2 linked regions of the Bombyx mori genome follow. The protein of the gene in region 2 binds, or shares a complex with, the protein of the main gene of each other region. Links are inferred from orthologs where the notes say so. Each region holds a gene or a part of one and is shown on either strand. Other genes may lie near its edges.

Region 1 (4,446 bases), on a different chromosome or scaffold from region 2:
GCATTTTCGTCGTCGCTGTCGTCGCCGAACATACTGTTGAAGAGCAACCCGGTCGGCGGTGTATCGCGTTCCGACCCGGCAGGCTGGTTCTGGCCCAGCGGGGTATCCCGGAACACCAGCGGCACCGCCCGGGCGGCCTGGTAGGGCCGCCGTACCGCGGAGACTGACGTCGTTGGTCGTCGACTATCGCCTCGACGACCCGTCAGTCGGGCGTCCTCGGGGTGGCGTGACCTTAGAACTTATATCTCAAGGTGGGTGGCGCATTTACGTTGTGGATGTGTATGGGCTCCAGTGACCACTTAACACCAGGTGGGCTGTGAGCTCGTCCAACCATCTAAGCAATAAAAAAAAAGAAAAAGAAAAAATACGCTTTGAAAAACATCGATTCGTACAATAACCATAATAATAGCCTCTTTTGGTATTATGAGATCATTTCCCGACTTAGTCAGCATTAATAAAAAAGTTTTAAAATTTGTTCAATTTTAATCCTCTCTCCATATTACCTTGATATTTATTGTCCTTGTCTAGCACTAAGGTTTTTGAATCACCTGATTGTTTGTCTCCGTTGCACCTGGTGAATTAAGGCAAAGATTAGATAATAATGACAGACCAGTTTTGGTGATAAAGCTTAATATGAAAAAAATCAATTCTGAGTGTAAAGTGATGTTAAATTGGTACGTATTTTTGGAAATTTTCAGCAATTTGCTTAATTAATATGTAACACCATCTATGTCTATGAGTTGATAAAAAAGTTATGTTATTTTATGTTACATTTTTAAAATATCGGGCTACGAAATAGAATGTTTCTTTATGGATTCTTTTCTCTGATACTATACTAACAATTATTTTATTTTATTTTATTTTATTTATTAAACACACAATACACATCACAAGCTAAAAAGATACATAAAAACACAAGTAAAAAGAAACAAAATCTGGCTTACAACATAAGCCATGTGCGCACGACTACGCAAGACAAAGTGCTGAGTTTGTACATAGTGGTCCTTACATCTATACGACAAAACAACACGATAATAAAAACTAATCTAACTTTTAATGTAAGGAAATAATTTTATTCACAAGCTACAATTAAACAATTACACTACTTAACTTCAGTAGTAGTTTCTTTTGTAAACTTAAGCAATACTTATTAAGGACATCATTCATGGTCGTAGAACGGATAGGTGTAATAAAGTGAGTTCTAACCCACAAACCACAGCCCACTGAGTTTCTCGCCGGATCTTCTCAGTGGGTCGCATTTCCGATTAAGTGGTAGATTCTGCGAAGCACTGCTCTTGCTAGGGCTAGCGTTAGCAACATCGTCAGGTTTGAGAACCGTGAGCTATCCTATTAGCCCGGCGACGCTGACATGGTCTCTCTAGACCAGCGGTCGGGGAACATTATTAATTATTGCCCCAATTTTTTTTGTGTATTAACAAAAAAAAAACTTGTTAGGCTACGCAGACATAGCCTCTCAAGGCTACCTAGCCTTAGATAGGAAGAAAAAAGTAATAAAAATAAAAAAAAGATATTTTTTTTTCGTCTCTTATCGTTGCTTAATCTTTGAGCATCGCAACGCGTTCCGGCTCGGGAGGTTTCATACAGCGTTGTTGTGACCGATCCGTTGTCGAGGCAACATCGGCGCTGTGGTTCGCGCCGCGCGTTTATTGACATAACAATATTAACCGCGATACGTGCTCCGCGCTGTGCTGTGCTGTGTCAGTGTTGTGAAAATGTTACCGTAACATTAAAATGGCATTAAAAAAGGATTTCGATCTACCGAAGAACATATTCAAAATCAAAATCCCAAAAAACGTGAAAGTCCAACAGGCGTTCGAAAAAATATTCAAGAAGAGTAACTACACTAAAATCGCGCAGAGTTAATTCGGTTTGTTAACGTTTTTGTTTCATGTTAAATGGCCGGTGAGTTTAGTGCTTATAATATCAGTAGAAGTAGAAATTCCGAAATAGAACCGCCCGATCGTGACCAGTCCCCAAATTTCATAACCGATGCCACTGAGTTTATCGGTAAAGGTGATATAAGAAATTCGACCCCAATAAAGAAACACCGAAGAAGCAGAAGCAGAAGTGGCAACAGAAAGACCCCTATAGCTCTCAGCTTGTCTGATGAGAACTTCTATGAAGAACTAGAGGAATACGTCAGAGAAATGTCGGCGGTTAGAGATACAAGCGCGAATATGGACGCGAACACCGAGCAAGACGTGTGGACTCAACTACAGCAGAAGGAATCTGACCTTCTGCTTGCTGCGGAACTGGGGAAGGCTTTGCTAGAGAAAAACGAAGAGCTAAAGAAGGAACAAGAAAGGATCGCTGAGGAGTACTCCAAAAAAGTCGAGGTGAGTTATTTGTGTTCAAACTTTTTTTTAATCTATTTTTTATTGCTTAAATGGGTGGACGAGCTCATAGACAGCTACAACGTAAATGCCTTACCTTGTGATGTGAGTTCTAAGGTCTCAGTATAGTTACAATTATTAGTTATTTATTACACAAAAATATTATTCTTAATGTTGTTATACCATAAGCAGAAAAATATTTAAGAAATGCCGTGTTTATTTAGTTTTGATTAACTTAAAATAACATGCAAAGAAAAATACTTTAATATATCTAAATGTTGTTTTGGCGATGTTAACGGTACTATTATAGAAATATAACGTTATAATTTCGGTAACATGCGCTGTTTTACACCTTTATGTTTAAGCTTGCAAGTAAGAAATCGAGACTGTAACTGCTAACAATGAGTTATAGGAATCTCAGTTCTATACACTCTTGTATAAATGTCATGTTTCTCTGATTTAGTATTAGCGTTGCTACATTTAAGGATTGCGTTGTGTGAATGTTGCAATACGAAGCGAACTATCTCGATTTCGGATGAATAAAAAGTTTTAATGAAAATCAAAATATATACCATGTGTTTTTTTATTCCCGTCGACGGGCATATAATGCGCATGGTAAATGGACGCCGACGTCGCCCAAAACAAGTCATCTCGGATCCTCCCGAATCACTAACGGTGCTTTTAGGTACCTCAAGCACCGGTCATCGTTCTCGTCGAACCCGTCGCTTGCGACGAAGGGCTTGGCGAGTAAATTAACCCATAGACAGCCCACTGAGTCTCTCGCCGGATCTTCTCAGTGGGTCGCGTTTCCGATCCGGTGGTAAATTCTGCGAGGCACGGCCCTTGCTAGGGTTCGTGTTAGCAACATATTCAGGTTTGAGCTCTGTGAGCTTACCTAATAGCCCGGCGACGCTGACATATTCTCTCTAGAGTACTCTAGACCATCAGCTTAGGTAGGAATAAAAAAAAAGTAAATGGTTGCTACAGTCCTTGGACACCGGCGAGCTAAGCTTTATTATTCATTTAATAAAACTAGTTTTTAATGACGAGTTGTATAGCTGGTCACAATGAAACATATTAAGTATCGTTTTATTTAATGATTATTTCCTATAACTGATGAGTAAGAACTCAATGGCAGGTTGTAAATTAGTGATAATTATAACGATTTCTTTACGTTTTTCAAATATTAATTCATCTTACAATATACTTTTATAAATCGTGGCTAAAAAGGTAAGATGTCTGGTCTATTCGTATAAATAGACCGATGCGCCTATGAAATCCCGAAGGCAGGTACCAATTTTTCTAAACAAAATTTCTACTATGAGAAATTACACAATACTTAATTACTGACGGCAGTGAGTCCGCACGGGTAGGTATCACCATTTTACCTATTTGCGCCACTAAGCTGTCATGCGTTCCGGTTGTACAATGCAATTCACACTACGACCTCATGTCTCATGGTGTTTTTATTTAAATTGCCGTCACTCATGGACATCAGCAATGTCAGGGACAGACCGAAGCCGCTGCCTACCAACATATGCACACTGTAATCTCTATGGGCCTTATGACTATAAGAATCCTATAAGATTAGCGCGAGCCGCAGATGTAATTTAAATATACACTTTTATTGTTTAACTAGCGACCCGCCCTCGCTTCGCTTCGGAAACTGTAATTTATTATTGATTTCTCCACTATTTAATGGATGTTATTATACATATAAACCTTCTTCTTCAATCACTCTATCTATTAAAAAAACCGCATCAAAATCCGTTGCGTAGTTTTAAAGATTTAAGCATACATAGGGACAGACAGATATTCCTATAGAAAGTGACTTTGTTTTATACTATGTAGTGATTTTATTTTAACTCCTACTTTTTACAATTTCCCAATTTATTTATTTATTTATTTGGGAAACAAACAGTACAATACAAACATATAATATTTAAAAAAATATAGCTAATACAATAATCAAATATGTTCCCACAATCAAAATCACATATAAGTAGAAAGTGAACAGAGAAGAGAAGCTTAGAAATTTAAATTACAAAAAACAAAAGCAACACAATACGCACATATTATTTTATACATCAAC
Region 2 (3,823 bases):
GGGGGCCGCGTCCGTCCGGCGCGCGGGGAGACCGCGGACCACAACGGCGCCAATAAATATTCGCTTAACAAAATACACCGGTCCTGTTACAAAAATAATCGATTCGCGTCGACGCGCGATATCGAGTGAAGAAATCGATACGAAAATATGTCCCGAGGAAAGGGAAGGGGTAGGCCGGGCGCGGCCCCGGGCTGGGGACCGCCGCGCCCGCGTCCGGCAGCCCGCCGCAATTTGACCGTTCCAGCGGCGCCGGACGAGGCCCGGACCGGCGCCGCGACGGGGGCCGGACGTGCGGCGCGATTCACATTACATTAAAAAGTTTACAAAACGTACAAATAGGGGACCGGGCCGGTGAGGCTGGAGCCCTAGGTCCGCAGCAGACGGCGCAGCAGGACGGCGACGGCCTTGACCGGCGCCAGCAGTCGCTAGAAGTCCCTCCCCCTGCCGCCCCGCACCCCGCCCGCCTTGGGCACGCGCCGGGAGCGCATCTCGCGGTCCACCTGCGACACACGTCACTGTCAGATGACGTCACAGCGGACCGGTGACGCAGCAATCCACAAATATGTCTAGTTCCTCTTACGTGACGCGGCATTCGCGAACATATCGAGTCTGATCACATGTTTTTTTTATTGCTTAGATGGGTAGACGAGCTCACAGCCCACCTGGTGTTAAGTGGTTAAGTTAAGGCTGCCCCACGCTTCAAACCGAAATGCATTACTGCTTCACGGCAGAAATAGGCAGGGCGGTGGTACCTACCCGCGCGGACTCACAAAATGTCCTACCACCAGTCCTAAATCAGGTTACCTACATCTGAGGTTAGACGGTTGTGTCCGACGCGGCGTGTGTTGCTCGTATGATGGACATGATCTCAAACACCCTTGAACATCCGACCCTTTGGCTCGATGTCGACGGATTATTATATTTAGTTAGTTAACCCTTTCAAATATTTTTGTAGGGAATTTCTACTTGAGCAACAAAGTGCGGAGGCAGGGATTTTGTAGATTATGCCACATGTTTAAATTTAGGTATTATTAGATTATTTTTTATAGATTAGTCTATATTATTTTAGTTTTATTAGTTTAGTTTATTATTTTATAGATTAAAATTACAGGCAGCGGCAGAATAGCAGCGATAGTTTCAGCTACCACAAAGCTGGGCCGCGGCCTTTTTATCTCCACTGTCAGTATAATTAATTGTAATATTGTTTAGATATAATTAGAAATTTAGGTCATATATTTTTTTTTGTTGCCTTTGTAGGCAGACAAGCGTACGCCCCACCTGATGGTAAGTGGTTACCGTCGCCCATGGACTTCAGCAAAGCCAGGAGCAGAGCCAAGCCGCTGCCTACTGCTTAATACTCTCCACAAGCCTCGTTTGAAGAAGGACATGTCAATTGGAAAGTTATTTGTATTGTGGAGTAAATTAATATTATTATTATATTTAGTTAGTAGGACCATTACCTCCAGCTCCTCGAGCCGTTGCGTGAGCGCCAGCTTCTGCTGCACGGCGAGGCGCAGCAGCTGGTTGAGGGTCTTCTTCTCATCCTCGGCCCCGGAGAGCGCCTGCGTCAGCTCGTCCACCTGCGTCACGTACTCCTCGCAGCGCGCCGCGAACATGGCACGCAAGCCTGGAACGGACGCTCACACATCTAGCTATTTTATTTCACACTAGCCGACCCGGCAGACTTCGTAGTGCCTCAATCGATAAATAAAAGACCTAAGCTTTTGTATAACATAAACTTAAAACAAAAGGAATCCGTCCGACGGAGGACACATCAGAGGAAAAACAAAATTGTTATTTTTATTTAATTCAGAGCATTTTCATTTTTATCTACCTTCCTACCTTCTCTGGACTTCCACAAATAATTGAAAACCAAAATTAGCCAAATCGGTCCAGCCGTTCTCGTGTTTTAGCGAGACTAACGAACAGCAATTCGTTTTTATATATAGATAGAAGAAGATGAGTGAACGAGCTCATAGCCCAACTAATGTTGACTTTGAGACACCACCTTGAAACATTTTCAACGGTAGGCAGTGGCTTGGCTCTGCCCCTGGCATTGCTGAAGTCCACGGGCGACAGTAACCACTCACCATCAGGTGGGCCGTATGCTCGTCTGCCTTCTTCTTCTTAGTTTGGTTTCCTCAATACTGAGGGTCGTGACCACCCCCTCGCAACAAGAGTTTATTCCGGATCATTCCACGCCATTTCCCTCTATCTGCCGCCGAGTGTAGAGCATCGTGAACTGTGGTATCGAGGGTAGTGCGGATCTGGTCAGTCCAACGTGTCGGGCCTCTAAGTATTTAGTGATCGCCTACAACGGCAAAAAAAAAAAAGCCAGTACTGACTCGAGAACGTAGCGGCGTCCTCCTTGAGCAGGCGCAGCTCGTTCCTGAGCTTGAGCATGGTCTCCGTGACGATCGTCTTCTCCGTCTCGTACTTGGACTTGAGGTTCGCGAGCGCCACCTCGGCCGTGTTCTTGTTGGACTTGAGCACGGTGCGCAGCGTCGCGATCTGCTCGCGCTTGGTCGACAGAAGGGACTTCAGCTTGATGACCTGCTCCTGGAGCTCGGCCAGCTCGGCGCCGCGCTCCTCCGTGGTCTCCATCACTGCGAGCACATTAAACTCTCGATGAGGTCGAGAAAACGACTACTAAGTGCTGGTATATTAGAATTCTGCAAAACAATGTCAAATTGAATTACACTATTATTATTTTTTGGCTTAAATGGGTGGACCAGCTCACAGCCCACCTGGTGTTAAGTGGTTACTGGAGCCAATAGACATCTACAACGTAAATGCGCCACCCACCTTGAGATATAAGTTCTAAGGTCTCAATATAGTTACAACGGCTGCCCCACCCTTCAAACCGAAACGCATTGTTGCTTCACGGCAGAAATAGGCGGGGCGGTGGTACCTACCCGCGCAGACTCACAAGAGGTCCTACCACCAGTAAATCACCAGTTCAATAAGGGGAACTGGCTGGCGACTCGGCCCGGACTGCTGTGGACTACACCTGGCGTGTGCATTGCGACGCGAGGCACTGCACACTTTGCGACGACAGAGATAAAGAATGGGCAGTAGGTGCTCATTTTTCAGATCAAAATCTACAAGGTTCTACGACTGAATGAACGAATGAAGAATGAACATGAGTGAATGAAGGGCAGTGTGAAGAACAAGTTAAGGGGTTGCGGGACATGACTGCCGGGGCCCGCACGCAGTTAACGACACACAGACACGTATTATCTTTGGTTACTAGTGAGGGCGTGGAGATATAATCTTCAAAACCCAACAATGACGAGTGGGTGAAATGAACCTTATTAAAATTCTTCAAATAATAATAAATACCTAGGAACAAAACACCCACATTGGTACCCGCCTGCGGGATTCGAACACCGTTACATCGCTTCAACACGAATGCACCGGACGTCTTATCCTTTAGGCCACGACGACTTCTAAATTAGTCGACGACGTTAGATAATAAGCACCCAGATAATGAGCAAACAAATTTGCTCTTCACACGAACGTTTTCCCGGTGCGGGAATCGAACCCACGTCCTTCGACGCGACAGTCAAGGCCGTTAACTATTGCACCAACGAGTCAGTCTTATTTTCTTTATCGATAATTCTACTACACAATCACTACAGCTGTAAACTGTCCACTAACTAACTAGAACATTGCTTAGATGCAACCCAATTTATCTTAAATAATAGTTTAAGAAAACTAACAAAGCACGCTTTTATAGAAAATCCAACTAAAAAATAGAAAATAAATTTTAATAAATTTGAATTAAAAATAGTGTAAGAAAAATTATTTTATTGTAAAAAAG

The links.
Region 1: protein bicaudal D (region 2) and bicaudal D-related protein homolog share a complex: the UniProt entries of both Homo sapiens proteins name them as parts of the tripartite complex. The link is inferred for Bombyx mori from reciprocal best matches to the Homo sapiens genes BICD2 and BICDL1.

The regions. Positions count from the first base shown.
Region 1 is NC_085122.1:13,073,605-13,078,050, reverse strand, and holds the start of bicaudal D-related protein homolog, read left to right. Parts: upstream 1-1,567; 5' UTR 1,568-1,916; coding exon 1,917-2,357; intron 2,358-4,446. UniProt on the Homo sapiens protein: Acts as an adapter protein linking the dynein motor complex to various cargos and converts dynein from a non-processive to a highly processive motor in the presence of dynactin.
Region 2 is NC_085125.1:2,137,547-2,141,369, reverse strand, and holds part of protein bicaudal D, read right to left. Parts: intron 2,607-3,823; coding exon 2,346-2,606; intron 1,628-2,345; coding exon 1,461-1,627; intron 501-1,460; coding exon 426-500; 3' UTR 1-425. UniProt on the Homo sapiens protein: Acts as an adapter protein linking the dynein motor complex to various cargos and converts dynein from a non-processive to a highly processive motor in the presence of dynactin.